Linked DNA regions of Schizosaccharomyces pombe. The gene in region 3 interacts genetically with the main gene of each other region. Each region holds a gene or a part of one and is shown on either strand. Other genes may lie near its edges.

Region 1 (3,393 bases), 570 kb from region 3:
AGAGAACATTAATAGAGAATCCCTTCATGCAGTTAAATAATAGGGAAGGAAGCCATTAATCCACTAATAAAAATAAGTGAAAAAAGATTGTTTTTCATGTGCATTGCGGATAATTGCTTGAAATCCGCAAATTATTATCAGTATACTAAAAACCCGCATTGCTTTTTGAATATTATCCTTTTGCTCCTTCATAAAAATGTCAGACGCAATGCGGATCATTCAATTCTTTAAGTATTTCATTTACGACTTGAATGTCATCAGCGACGATATTTTAATCGTAGAAAATAAAACGCCGTTTAATTCTTGGCTAAAAATATATTCGACAGCTTCAAATCCTCTCAAAATAATAACCAAATATTTACCTCTAAACCTCGTTTAAAAAAGATCAATAGGGATAGCTACTTGGGCTAAAACAGTTGCGAAGAAATTTGAACGTCCAAAAATATTGTGCTCTTTCCCTAGGTGAAATGCATTCTTTCCAAAAAAAAAATTAATGATTTCAATAGGAAACTGAAATGAATAAATAAAATCGTAATTTGGTTAAACTTTTTGATGTTAATTTACAGCCTATGCGGTTAAAAACCAAGCATGTTGAAGCGCATCCTGGCCGGTCGTCCTTAATTCAGGTTGTAGACGAAGCATCCGTCGTAACAAATCCAAACCAAGAGGATCAAATGTTGGAAATAGGTAGGCGAGATCTTGTGCTTTATAAATAGGGAAAGTAGGCTTATATTCAGGAAGTAAAGAAATTCCGGGCCATGATTGTTCAGTAGGAGTTCCCAATAATCGGAAGATTTTTAGTAGCTGATCCTCATTATTTGACCCAGCAAATAGAGGACGTCCTGTAGCCATTTCTGCCATGATACAACCAACTGACCAAATATCAATGGAAGTTGAATATACTCGAGAACCCAAAAGAACGTCAGGAGCACGATACCATAAGGTGACCACTTCGTTTGAAAAAGTATTCACTGGAATTCCAATTGAACGGGCTAACCCAAAATCCGCCAATTTCAATTCACCACGACTGTTGATAAGCAAATTTTGAGGTTTCAGATCACGATGTAGAACTCGGTTTTCGTGACAAAAAGATATCCCTTTGAGTAATTGTTGAGTAAAATTTTTTACTTGAGAAGGTGGAAGAGCTCCTTGGTTCCCATAAGTGTCCATGTACTTTTTCAAATCTTTTTCCATATATTCAAAAACGAGCATAAGCTTATTTTCGGTTTGCAAAACGTCTGAGAGAGACATAATATTGGGATGCCTAAGCTCCTTCATAAGACTAATCTCACGGATAGCAGTACTAGGTGTTCCTTCATCTGCATCAATACGAATAACTTTGAGAGCGACAATTTCACCAGTCACTCGATTTTGCCCCTTATAAACATGCGCATATGTTCCCTCTCCTACTTAAGTTAATGAAATTGCAAATTTTGGGACCTCAAACTCATACTTACCTAACTTTTCAAGCCTTTGGTAGTTCATGTTGTGCGATGGAAATATCAAGTGCCTCCTCTACGATGACTAACGACTTAAGGTGATGTTAAGCTAACAAAACTGTTTTTAAGACCTACAGTTTTGAAGAATATGCTAAGAAAAAAAATTTTTAGTCTATTGAGTCATGTCGAACATCTTGCTATAATGTAAACTATTGTAATTAAGATCACTACAGCTTCTATCACAAATTAACCTAATGATAATTAATCAGAAGGTTGCCATCTGTAGAAAACACATAAGTATTAATAAACCCTTACATAAAGGAGAGTTTAAGCAATTGCATGTTTTTGGATATAAATTTCCATCTTTGCTTAAAATCTATCATAAGCAGTATGAGAAAATGCCGTAATTTTGCATAATTTTAAAAATGAATTAATGATTTAATAAAAGAATTGAAGCTAAACTATATCACTGCAATTCAAAAACAATTGGTTTACTTTATCTTGTTGATGAAACACATTTTAGAACATTATCACCAACAAAAAATGATACAAGATAGCTTAAGTTTATATATTTCAATGATTCATTTCTTCATTAAAACATCATATTTCTGCAGTGTGGGTTTGGCCAGTGATATCAATCAACTAAACATGATTCTAAACGAAGCAATAAAACAATTTAATAAAGCATTAGCTTCTTACACATTGTTTACAAGACTAACCTTTATACGCTAGTCTAAAATAAAAAACAGACAACAAATGCAAAGAGGATTTGAGGAACAAGTTCTCTCCTAATCTACTAACATGTGTTAAAACTGGTCATCAAGCATTCCACGGAAGTGACTGAAAGCATTTTGAAAGTCATTATCTAAAGCGTTTATGCAAAGAATCTCACGAACAACAAAAGAGAACTGCAACCTTTCCCTTGAAAGACCTTAAAGAAACAAGTAATGAATCCGAAGCATGTAGCAATTAAGCATTCTAAAGGCCACCTGCTTAAATTGAACTGCCTATTGAGGGAAAACCTTCAAAGAGGATCTCTCAAGATTGGCTGATGCTTCATCATCCACAAACCAGCTTGTACGAGTCAAATTGTTTCGAGTGATCAGCGCACTTGGAAGTTTAGATGTAAAATCCTCAATGACAATAGGCAAAATATCCTTCTTACCAGCACCTGTGGTAACAAAGGCAATGGCTTGAGCATGTGTGACAACCGGTAAAGTCAAAGTGATGCGGTCTTTAGGGGGTTTGGGCGAATCAGTGACTGGGGCCACCCAAGCAACGTCTTCCTGGAGTACCTCGTGATCGGGGAATAGAGAACATGTATGGCCATCAGGACCGCATCCTAACAGCAGTAAATCAAACACAGGGACCTTAACAGTGGAGCTATTTGCAAACACATGCACTAATTGTTTTTCATATTCATCAGCAACATTCTGAGGGTCAATAGGATTTTCTTTCAAAAGCTCAGGATTGATGGTATGAATTTTTTTAGGGTCAAATCCTTCAAACTTGTCAAAAATCAACTTTTTACAGAGCGCATAATTTGAGTTTTCATCATCTAAAGGAACAATTCTTTCATCAGCAAAGAAAACTTCCCTAAATAGAGCTGTTAATCATAAATTGCCTTAAGACAGAGTGTTTCACGTCAACCAAAGCTAAACAAAACCACAGTGAATCCATACAACTCAAAAGTATATAATATCTGTTAACTTACCATTTGGAAAACTCGATACCTCTCTGTTGAGCCAATCCTTCAGCCAAAACCTTTGGTAAACTTCCTCCACTAAGAGCTAAAGTGAACACGCCATGCCTTTTAATAGAAGCTTCACTTTTCTCTTTAACGAATGCACCAAGTGCCTTTGCAACTAAACTAACGTCTGAAAATGAGTAAACCGACATTTTTTCTACTTGGTTCTGGTTTGCTTTCAGTATTTGCGCAATTGTTAGTAATGGA
Region 2 (3,926 bases), on a different chromosome or scaffold from region 3:
TGACAAGCAGTACTTCCCTTTGTTCCGTAGAGGTGATTTTAGTATTTATAGACCACAAATATTTCTCATTCTCGTCTGAATATAAAGCATATCCTCTACTTCTGCCTAATTGAAGAGAATACAATGATTTTTTTTGTATATTAGTTAAGCCAAAAATTAAATCGGAAAAAGTCTCTAAATCTCTATTAAATGGAGCATAGTTAGAAATTTCTAGTTTAGTTAAATCGTTCGTCAATGATTCAGATATATCAGTCTCAGACGGAAGAGCTGAAATATTCGGATTTACATGACGAATTTTATTTGAAAGAGGATATAGTTGCAGCGATTTTTCTTCGCAAGAATGTTTTTTTTCAGACATTAAAAGCCCATTCTTCCTAGATAGGGCTCAACTTTCTTCGAAATATACAAAATTCCAAAAACGGCTTCGATAGGATGAAGTCAGGTACTGACGCATATAAAAGGTTAGGATAGGTATTCTAAAAATGCTTATTGACTAAGACTGCCACATTGATTGACAGTTTAAAAAAAAAAAGAAAAATAATGAAAACTAAGCATTACATTTCATGGATTTCAGCTATCACCATATAGACCAGCTGCACTAGAGTCGTCCGAAGAGGGAGAACTATCTTTTCCATAGATATCTGAGTCTTCTGGTAATTCTTTAGATTCCTCTTCATTTTCTTCTTTTCTCTGGCTTTTAAATAATGATGTTTCTTCTTCTTCTTGGGAATAGGGTCCACTGGCAGGAGGAGGAAGAGGAGAGAGATTGTCTTCAGATGGATTTTCGACAATATTGGAAGTATATGGTACGCTGTTAATGCTTGGAGAGTAAGAATCTACTTGAGGAGAATAAGCATCATCACTGTTTGGAGAACTAGACGGAGGTGATGTTGTTTCTACATTATGTTTGCCAGCAGTAGAACTTTTATCTCCAAAACCTGCATCGGTCAAGGTAGAGGTAGCTGTTGTACTTTCCTTATTCTCTAAATTAGAAATTATGGATTCAACAGATTTTAGGCTCTCTTCTTCCTCTGAAAGTAGCTTTTTTTGTTCTTCTATAAGCGATTCCAAGGAAGTAATGAGTGTGGATCGGGATTCGATGCAAGCCTGATAATTACCTTTACATGATTCAGAGGCTTTATTTAGTTGCTTTTTATAATTATCGAGTAGTTCAGAATAATCTGATTGTTTCTCCAAGTATGATTTATACAATGCATCTACCACAGTTTTGGTAGAGTGAGCAGATTTTGCGTATAAACTAGTTTGTGTCATTAAACGAGTGTAAGGTGCCTATGCAATTAGTAAAGTTCTGATATTTTATTTGAATTGCGGCATACCCATTCCGGAGGGCCAACGGGGTAATAGTTAGAATGGCCACTGTTCTCGGCATTATTAAACCTTTCCTGCAAGGATAAAAGTATCTCCTTAGAAAATATGCCGCGTTGACACCAAACGTCAAAAACGTATTTGATTTTTGTTTTAATGGAAGCAGGAACTGACGCGTACGCGTCAGCTACAGAGTTTACGACATACTATGCAAATATTATTAGAATCTAAACCATATAGGAGATGTTCCAAGCTCATAATGATAGTAACTTACTGGAGAAACGGCATCAATATATTCAGATATTTTTTTGACCCGGGATTGTTGAACGACTTCGTTGAGCAGGTAAAGCAATAAAAGCTTTTTGTTGGAAGAAGCTGGTTAAATTAGTTAGACAATCGAACAAATTCCTAAAGGAGTCATACATTCATACAAAGCTTCCAGCCATATTTGGACAATTTCATCAGCATAACGCTTGTGAAACATAACCCAATGCGCTATTCCCGTTATACTTTCTTGTGTTTCATTTAGAGTAGCCAACTTTGAAGAAACAGTGTCTGGAGTCAAAGCCATCTTGTTTTATGCTGATGGTGAGTTTCTTACGACACACTGCTGTTAGCATCGCAAACGAAATCATAAGCATAAGTAATAAATACTTCTTGTATAATATCAATGTTTTACATTATAGCCTATACTTAAAATGATTTTGAAACAACAGATTAATTAGTTTGGGTAGAGCAAAAATCTTCGTCTCATTTGTAAAGATGGAAAAGAACATTTATTATTCTCAAACTACCCAGTTTTCTCCAAGATTCCCTCTTAAATATTAGGTATATAAAATACATTATTCGTTTTCTCATGATTTTGTTTAGTCTCAGCAGGTCATCTTAGCTAACGGCTATCACTCACTGTAACATTTACAGTACGAGTTTTGGTAAGAATGCTAGACGAAATCTTGTGATGTTATATGTTGGGGATTATGAAAAGAAACTATTCGGCGTGTTGAGAAATGTGTACGGAGTGCAAATGTGTGTTTTAATGACTTGTCTGAAGCAGGAATTACTATATACTACTCACCGCATTGAGACTTTGTTTTTGCTTCCCTTGTATTACTATAAACTATGGCATATACTTACGTAAAAAATTATATAATAAACTAATTGTTCGTTTGAAATCGTATTTATTTGTCAACCGGGCAGGCAAAGCAGTAAAGATGTTCTGAAATTGAACGATAATACGAGTTTCAAAAAAAATAAAAAAATAAATGAATAAAGTAAAATAAATTAACTCCTAAGAACAAAGTTAAAACGGGATGACTAGTAGTAAGCAAAATTGTAAATAAAAAGTGCCGTAAGAATGTCAACGTATAAAACTAATGTTCATTTTCTGCCAATGATAGTCATTTCACCTTTCATAGTAGTTATTTCAACTTAATGGATGCAATCTCATTCTGCGTAGCGTCAAACTCAGAATTCATGTCGTTTCGCCAACACTCTATACCAGAAATATATCATTGAAGGACTTTTCAAGTCTTGTATTTGCTCATTCATCTATTCAACAATATAACCCATATATTAGAATACCAATCTCAATTGCTACTTATATATTACTTGCGAATTACAATATAATAGATCACTAGGAAAACACCGTAGTTCTACGTATCGTTAAATTAAATACTTGCGTAGCTAACATTATATCCTCTTAACGCATTTGTTGTAGCTATGGGTTATATTATTTACAATTAATAGCTTGAATGAGTAATATACCTTTTCTTTAAATATTTCGTGATTATTTAGAGCTGTTGAGAATCCCTTAAGAGGAATACAATAAAGCAGGATAAAGAAATGTTTTTCTATTAACTTTGTTATGCATGTTTGCAATCGAAGTTTGTTTTTAAACAAATACTCCTCTATTCAATAAATCTAACTTTGTAATAAGTTACCTGCAAATAAGCCATTTTTCTTTTATTTTACAGATAAAGCCCATTTTCATTATCTGTATCACGTACTCCCAGTGTGAAGTTACTTAGGTTACCTTGTTTCTTAATCCATCAAAAACTCTTTTCTTTGTCCTTAGCATTCTTTGTTTAAAGTTGTATATAAGGGGAACTTGAGAGATTTGAATTTACTTACAACACATATATTAAATATTGCTTTCAACACACGTTTGTACTTTTATTTTCCAAGATTTCCCTTTCTGAGAAATATTTGTCAATTAGTAAACATATAAGGCAGGCTACAAAAGATATCATTTGTATAGTTATAGTGAATTGAAATTTTATCGTTAAAAAGAATACTGCGGTTTATTGCAACTGGTTTTGTATAAATAATAAGGATGATGTCGAACGAGAATTTTGATAATGACTACAATCTGCCACCACCAAATGATTCTGCGGAAGATTTAAAAATTTTCATTGAAAGATACGAGAGATCTGTAGATTCTACATTGTTAGAAATTGACGAAAACAAAAGAGAAGCACTTGAAAAAAATATATTGAGGAATGAGATCGTAAAATGAAATATGAAATTGAATGCAATGAAAGGCTACAAGGATGGAAAAAGTTAGCGATTGAAAGGGAAATTTCTGAAGAACAATCGGGAGA
Region 3 (5,303 bases):
AGACAAAATGAAACTGAGGAGGAGACGATGGCTCGAATTCAAAAAGATCCTGAAGTTCTAGGAATCTTACAAGACCCTGCTATGCAAGCTATCCTTGGACAAGCTCGTGAGAATCCTGCTGCTTTGATGGAACACATGAAGAACCCAACCGTTAAAAGCAAAATTGAGAAGCTGATTGCCAGCGGTGTTATTCGCCTGGGCTAAATTTGCGCTTTTGTGAGAAGTGAGATTTAAAAAAAAGAAAGGTTTTAACGTTTACTTAGTTTATGAATGTTGTTTGTTAAAGAGTAATCCCTTACTTTAATACAACCGGATGAATTGGATAACTGCTTTTTTGTTAAATATTTCACTAAACGAAGAAGTTGGGTGTTATTTATCCTCCAAATTTTTAGGGTATTGATGAGTTAGTCGATTAATAGTTTGATCATTTAATAAACATAAGCACTAATTCATGTTGAATTTAAAATTATAATCATATCACGATAGGTAGTTACTAAATGCTTTAACCTTTTATTCTCCAAATTTTAGGGTGGATATGAAAAGTATTATAATATCAAATCAAAATTTTAAGTCCAGATGTGAATCGCTTTACATTGTGCTAACTAACAAACTCAATTAAGAGTGTAAAAAAAAAATAAATAAATATCATTAGGTTGACCTTAATTATCCATAACTAAAATGTTATGAAAATAGATTATGCATATCAAGCAGTAATATTAGATAGATATGTAAGTCAAAGAAGCCATGCTTCACAAAATATACCGTTAATAAAAAACTCGTCAATGTGTCTCAAAGATTCTAGGATAAGGTTAACTAGGACCATCTCCCAAAAATGATATTATAATGAAAACTTTTAAGGACCGGGTTAATTGATTCTTTAAACTACAGTTTTCCTATTTTAATATATACCAAAAAGAGACATATATGCCATTTTTGATGATCCAAAAAGGAGGAGTTATGCAAGAACGGTGCTTGTTAATAACCTCCATTAAAAAAGAAATTTACAAAAATTATTGTTTGGACGCCTTTTTCTGAGCCGCCGAAATGGCATTCTGCATAAATTGAGGGTTAATTGCTAGCGACGGATTTGCCCTTATTTGTGGATTGTTCTCAACAACATCTTTAATTAAGAGCATATCAGAAGGAGTTAAAGCATTAATAATACTTTCGAGAGACGGGTAGGAATGAACTGGATTAGTAGGTGTACCAGAAGCAGACTGATATGTAGATGGAATACCATTTGTGGAAGTAGTGATAGGAGTGGCTCTTTCTACTGATTCATGACGAGAGGAGCTTTTATTAAGAACAAATAAGCCCATGAAATACTGAAAATTTCGATCTTTAGGTAAATCAACCTTGGGAAGAAGGTCAAGTAATTCAGGCACGCTGTTTCCTGATGGCATAGGAATAATGTATGCATCTTTCACAGAATTAGACTTCGAATGTAACACTCCATAGCGATTTCTTTTCACAAAATAATCGTACAAAATATCAAATCCTTGTGAGTTTTGCTCAGTGGGTACGAATAGCACCGCAATTATTTCTTTAGAAGGAGTTTTTCTTAGAGCATGAAAATACTGCAAAACTGATGATACACTTATACGACCCTCAATTAAAGCTGTCGCAGATAAAATTTCAAATAAATGACTAGCACTAACATCACCAAATAAATTTAAGGCATTTGCGTGAAACTCTGAAACAGTAGCCATTTTTACTTTTCCAGTCCATATTTTCTCTTTCATGCCAAAAAACTCAGACTCCTCAGCCATATCTTCAGCAGGCGAATACGGAGAAGAAAATGAATCGTTCCTCGCAAGAGGCTCCTCTTCTACAATGTCAAGTATAGTAGGATCATCTATTTCCACGATGGAAGGGACATTGACTATCGGTTTTGTGTCGTTAAAACTCCCTTTTCTTTTTGCAGCTTTATCACCATTAGATGTATCGTCTTCAGAAAGAGGATTATGTTCCGGTAAAGTAGGACTTTTGGAATCAATTGTGGGCTCTTCTTCTGCAATTGAAATTGGAGCTACAAGCTCTCCAGGAGGTTTGGGAAACATCGCATCATCGTTTTCCGCAATACCAAGTTCATCTTGTTGTGTAAGTTTATCTTCATCAAGTAAACGATCTCGTGGAGCAATCAAATGTTGCTTTATGACTGTGTTTTCAGTACTTTGTTGACGAATTTCCTCAGCTAGGTTCTTCAAGTCAGGATTAGCCATTTCTTCACTGGATAAGTTGACCAGATCGTTAAAACTAATTTCATTTTTTAACACGCGCGCTCGAAATGCCGGGTTTTTGTCATCAACCAAGTTGAATCGTAAAGCACGAAACTTCTCTCGATATTTGTTGTTCGGAGTTAACGAATGATCAGTTGTATACGAAAGCACCATAAACATAATATGCTCAAGCTGAAGCGCTAAGGATGTAGAATTAAGGTCTTCTAATCCTTGCACACCTTCAAGTTTTGCTTTCTCAATGATTTTTTCAAAAACGGAAACCCAGGCTTTGGCAACACTTTTTCTAACAGGGTTTTGAATTTCATCGATAGAAGTGTGTAAACTAAGCTCCTTTTCCTGATCTGCAGTTTCATTGGAAGCATCCTTAGGAGATGTTTTTGGTGCATTCTTGCTACGTTTGGTATGAGTAGCCGTCGTACCAACACTGCCTCTTCGTTTTCGAGTTGAAGGTGGAGAATGAGAACTTTTTGGTGTCGTGGAGCCAATAGGAGTCCTAGGAGATTGTCGACCAGACCTAGTAGTCATTCCAACATTAGAATTTGTCGAAGCAGGCTCGGATGATTCTAGTTCAGCGCCTGACTCTTTAGTAATCGCCTCTTTTGAATCAGAAGATACAACATTATTTTCTTCATTGTTTTTCTCGTTCCCTTCATTAGAGGCAAGTAAATCAGCTGTCTGATGCTCTTCATCCTTATTGGGAGAATTTTGTACTTGTGATGAAACGTCGCTTCGCGAATGACAAACTTCACAATAGTAGCTTTCAGGTATATCCTTATCCGCTAATCCAACGCAACTGGCATGTTGCCAGCAATCACACCCATCACATTGAACCCACGTATCGCCAATGTCTTCTTGCGATTTACAAACACACCGAACAACAGTTTCAGGAGGTTTTTCTGAGGCTTTTGCCGTCCTTCTAGTGCTTTTTCTTACCATGCTTCGTTATTATGGGAATAAAAAGTATTTTGATCAATGACATCTGTACTTCAAGGTTAATACATGCAATTCGAATAACAAGTGATTGAATGCGTACTAAATAAACTGAGGAGATTAAAATATATGCATAACTAAACAAAAGTCGTTCCTGAAGTGTTTAATATCCTCACAAAAGCTCGTCAAGAGTTCTAAAAAACAAGGTGTTGGCAGGTATGGGTTATTGGCAAGTGGCAGCAGTGTTGTAGTTTGTTATAGCAAAGGTGCAAAATCTGCGAAAACTAAGGATACATGCTATTTTATAGTTCGAATGCAATATTTTACGATTAAATGTGAATATTGTTAGAAAAGGAGCTTCAAAAATATGAGTAGTGCACGAGAGTTACTGAGGAAAGTAAAACAAGAGCGATTAGGGCAAAAGCGAGGTCTGAAAGCCTCTAGTCAAGAACTGAAGCGTCAGAAGACGAGAGATCATAAATCATTTGAAAATTTAGGTCGTGATCAATCTCGTGAGCTGGCAGTAAGTGATTTTAATGAAAAGCAATCTACAGAACCTCCTAAGGATACACGAGCGGTGTCCGCACTTCCAGAAAACTTTTTTGATGAATCTATTGCTAAAAATAAAGAACTAATTGAAGAAGAGTGGAACGATTTTCAAAATGAGATTGGCATTATTGAGGAAAATGCTGTTGAACAAGAAATAACACTCCAACAGCAACAGTTATTGGCCGAAAAGGATGAAGAAAATGAAATTGCAGATAATGATTTAGAACCAGAAGTTTATGATATTCTTTATGAAGAAGAAAGCAAATTGGGTGAGTCGAGGGATCTTATCCGTCGTTTGAAACAAAAAAGGTTTGAAACTAAAAAAAATAACTTTTCTGTTAAAGAATCTAGCAATTTATCTAATAATGACTCGGATGCTTCACTAGATGAAGACACCTTGCTTTGGGGTTTGTAAAGCTCTGTTTACGATCTTAAAAACAAACAAAAATATTGACACCAACTAAAAGAATACTGTTTATATTACATATTCTTTCCTTAACCAAAAGAAAAATATTAATTAATTAAGAATAATTGCAAATAAGAAGCATTGCTTTAAACACTTTTGCATATTTAATATATATTAATATTTCGGAAGGAATGTGGAAATTTTGTTGTGTAACAGAGAAATTAACTTTGTTCCTATTCATATACGGAATCTGCATTTACATATGCATTGCAGTCCCAATTAGAAGTGATCTTAGTACTGTCTTTGAGCCAGAAGCAAAAGGCTCTCGAATTACTTCAAACTATCGAAGAAGTTTATTTAACATGCTTGGATATGATAATTCGGTTCATCCTAATAACTGTAAGGGCTCATTTCTTTGCCCTATGCTTCGAGGAGAAAATCGTGCGTGTCCGAACGCGTACATGAAGTATAATAGATCCTTGATCTACCATGGATATTCTTCTTATACAGCTAGTTCTTGCACTGCCATTTATGAGTGCGAAGGTGATTATCCAGCACGCACAGGCAACGAAATCATTGATGAATTTGATCAATTAAATTTGCAATGTTCCGCTTGTGGAACTCGTTTTTTTAATAATGATAATGAAAACACAAGATGCTATGTCAAATTGAACTACTGTTATCCAGACTGTACCGAAATTACACCAAGCACCAGCGAATACGATTATCGAGAGCCGGTTAGAGATTGGTAATAATAAGAGGAAAGGATCCATTCTGAATTAAGCATAAATATCATAAATACGAATTTCCAAAAAGGACGACGATTACTGGTGACTTTTATTCTTTTAATCTTTTGTGCGATTAAGTTATCTAAACAGTGATTGTCTTTTCTTATATTTTTAGGGATTGAAGGTATGCAACACAATCTTCGACACTTCCTTCAGGGTGTTTAAATTGCCAGGAAATCATGTTATCCATAGTCTCTTTCAGCTGCGGGCCAGGCTTAACTCCCACATTTTTCATGATCTGTTTTCCCTAAAAAATTGTTAGCTTATTCGCTCAATATTGTTAACAGAAATAAAAGAATTACATACGTCTAATAATGGCTTCATGTTATAAGCATTTTGTAAATTTTTGTCATAAATAAAGTCATATAGAGATTTATAAGAACTAAATGT

The links.
Region 1: mutations in bye1 (region 3) and pef1 together harm fitness more than expected from each alone (negative genetic interaction), as found in Schizosaccharomyces pombe (2 studies listed by BioGRID).
Region 2: mutations in bye1 (region 3) and rhn1 together harm fitness more than expected from each alone (negative genetic interaction), as found in Schizosaccharomyces pombe (2 studies listed by BioGRID).

Annotation. Positions count from the first base shown.
Region 1 is NC_003421.2:685,846-689,238, reverse strand, and holds pef1 (cyclin-dependent protein kinase Pho85/PhoA-like Pef1), read right to left. Parts: upstream 1,505-3,393; 5' UTR 1,486-1,504; coding exon 1,458-1,485; exon of another isoform or gene 1,407-1,457; coding exon 568-1,406; downstream 1-567. Other genes in the region: pgl1 (6-phosphogluconolactonase), read right to left, coding at 2,447-3,035, 3,154-3,338.
Region 2 is NC_003423.3:1,033,509-1,037,434, reverse strand, and holds rhn1 (RNA polymerase II transcription termination factor), read right to left. Parts: upstream 1,914-3,926; 5' UTR 1,898-1,913; coding exon 1,750-1,897; exon of another isoform or gene 1,702-1,749; coding exon 1,601-1,701; exon of another isoform or gene 1,533-1,600; coding exon 1,338-1,532; intron 1,291-1,337; coding exon 571-1,290; downstream 1-570. Other genes in the region: serine/threonine protein kinase Ppk27, read right to left, coding at 1-358.
Region 3 is NC_003421.2:1,256,507-1,261,809, reverse strand, and holds bye1 (transcription elongation regulator), read right to left. Parts: upstream 3,403-5,303; 5' UTR 3,274-3,402; intron 3,220-3,273; 5' UTR 3,177-3,219; coding exon 1,011-3,176; 3' UTR 530-1,010; downstream 1-529. Other genes in the region: chaperone activator Sti1, read left to right, coding at 1-204; SPOM_SPCC645.12C (uncharacterized protein), read left to right, coding at 3,538-4,134; protein mug117, read left to right, coding at 4,317-4,877; cca2 (ATP/CTP tRNA nucleotidyltransferase), read right to left, coding at 5,017-5,160, 5,220-5,303.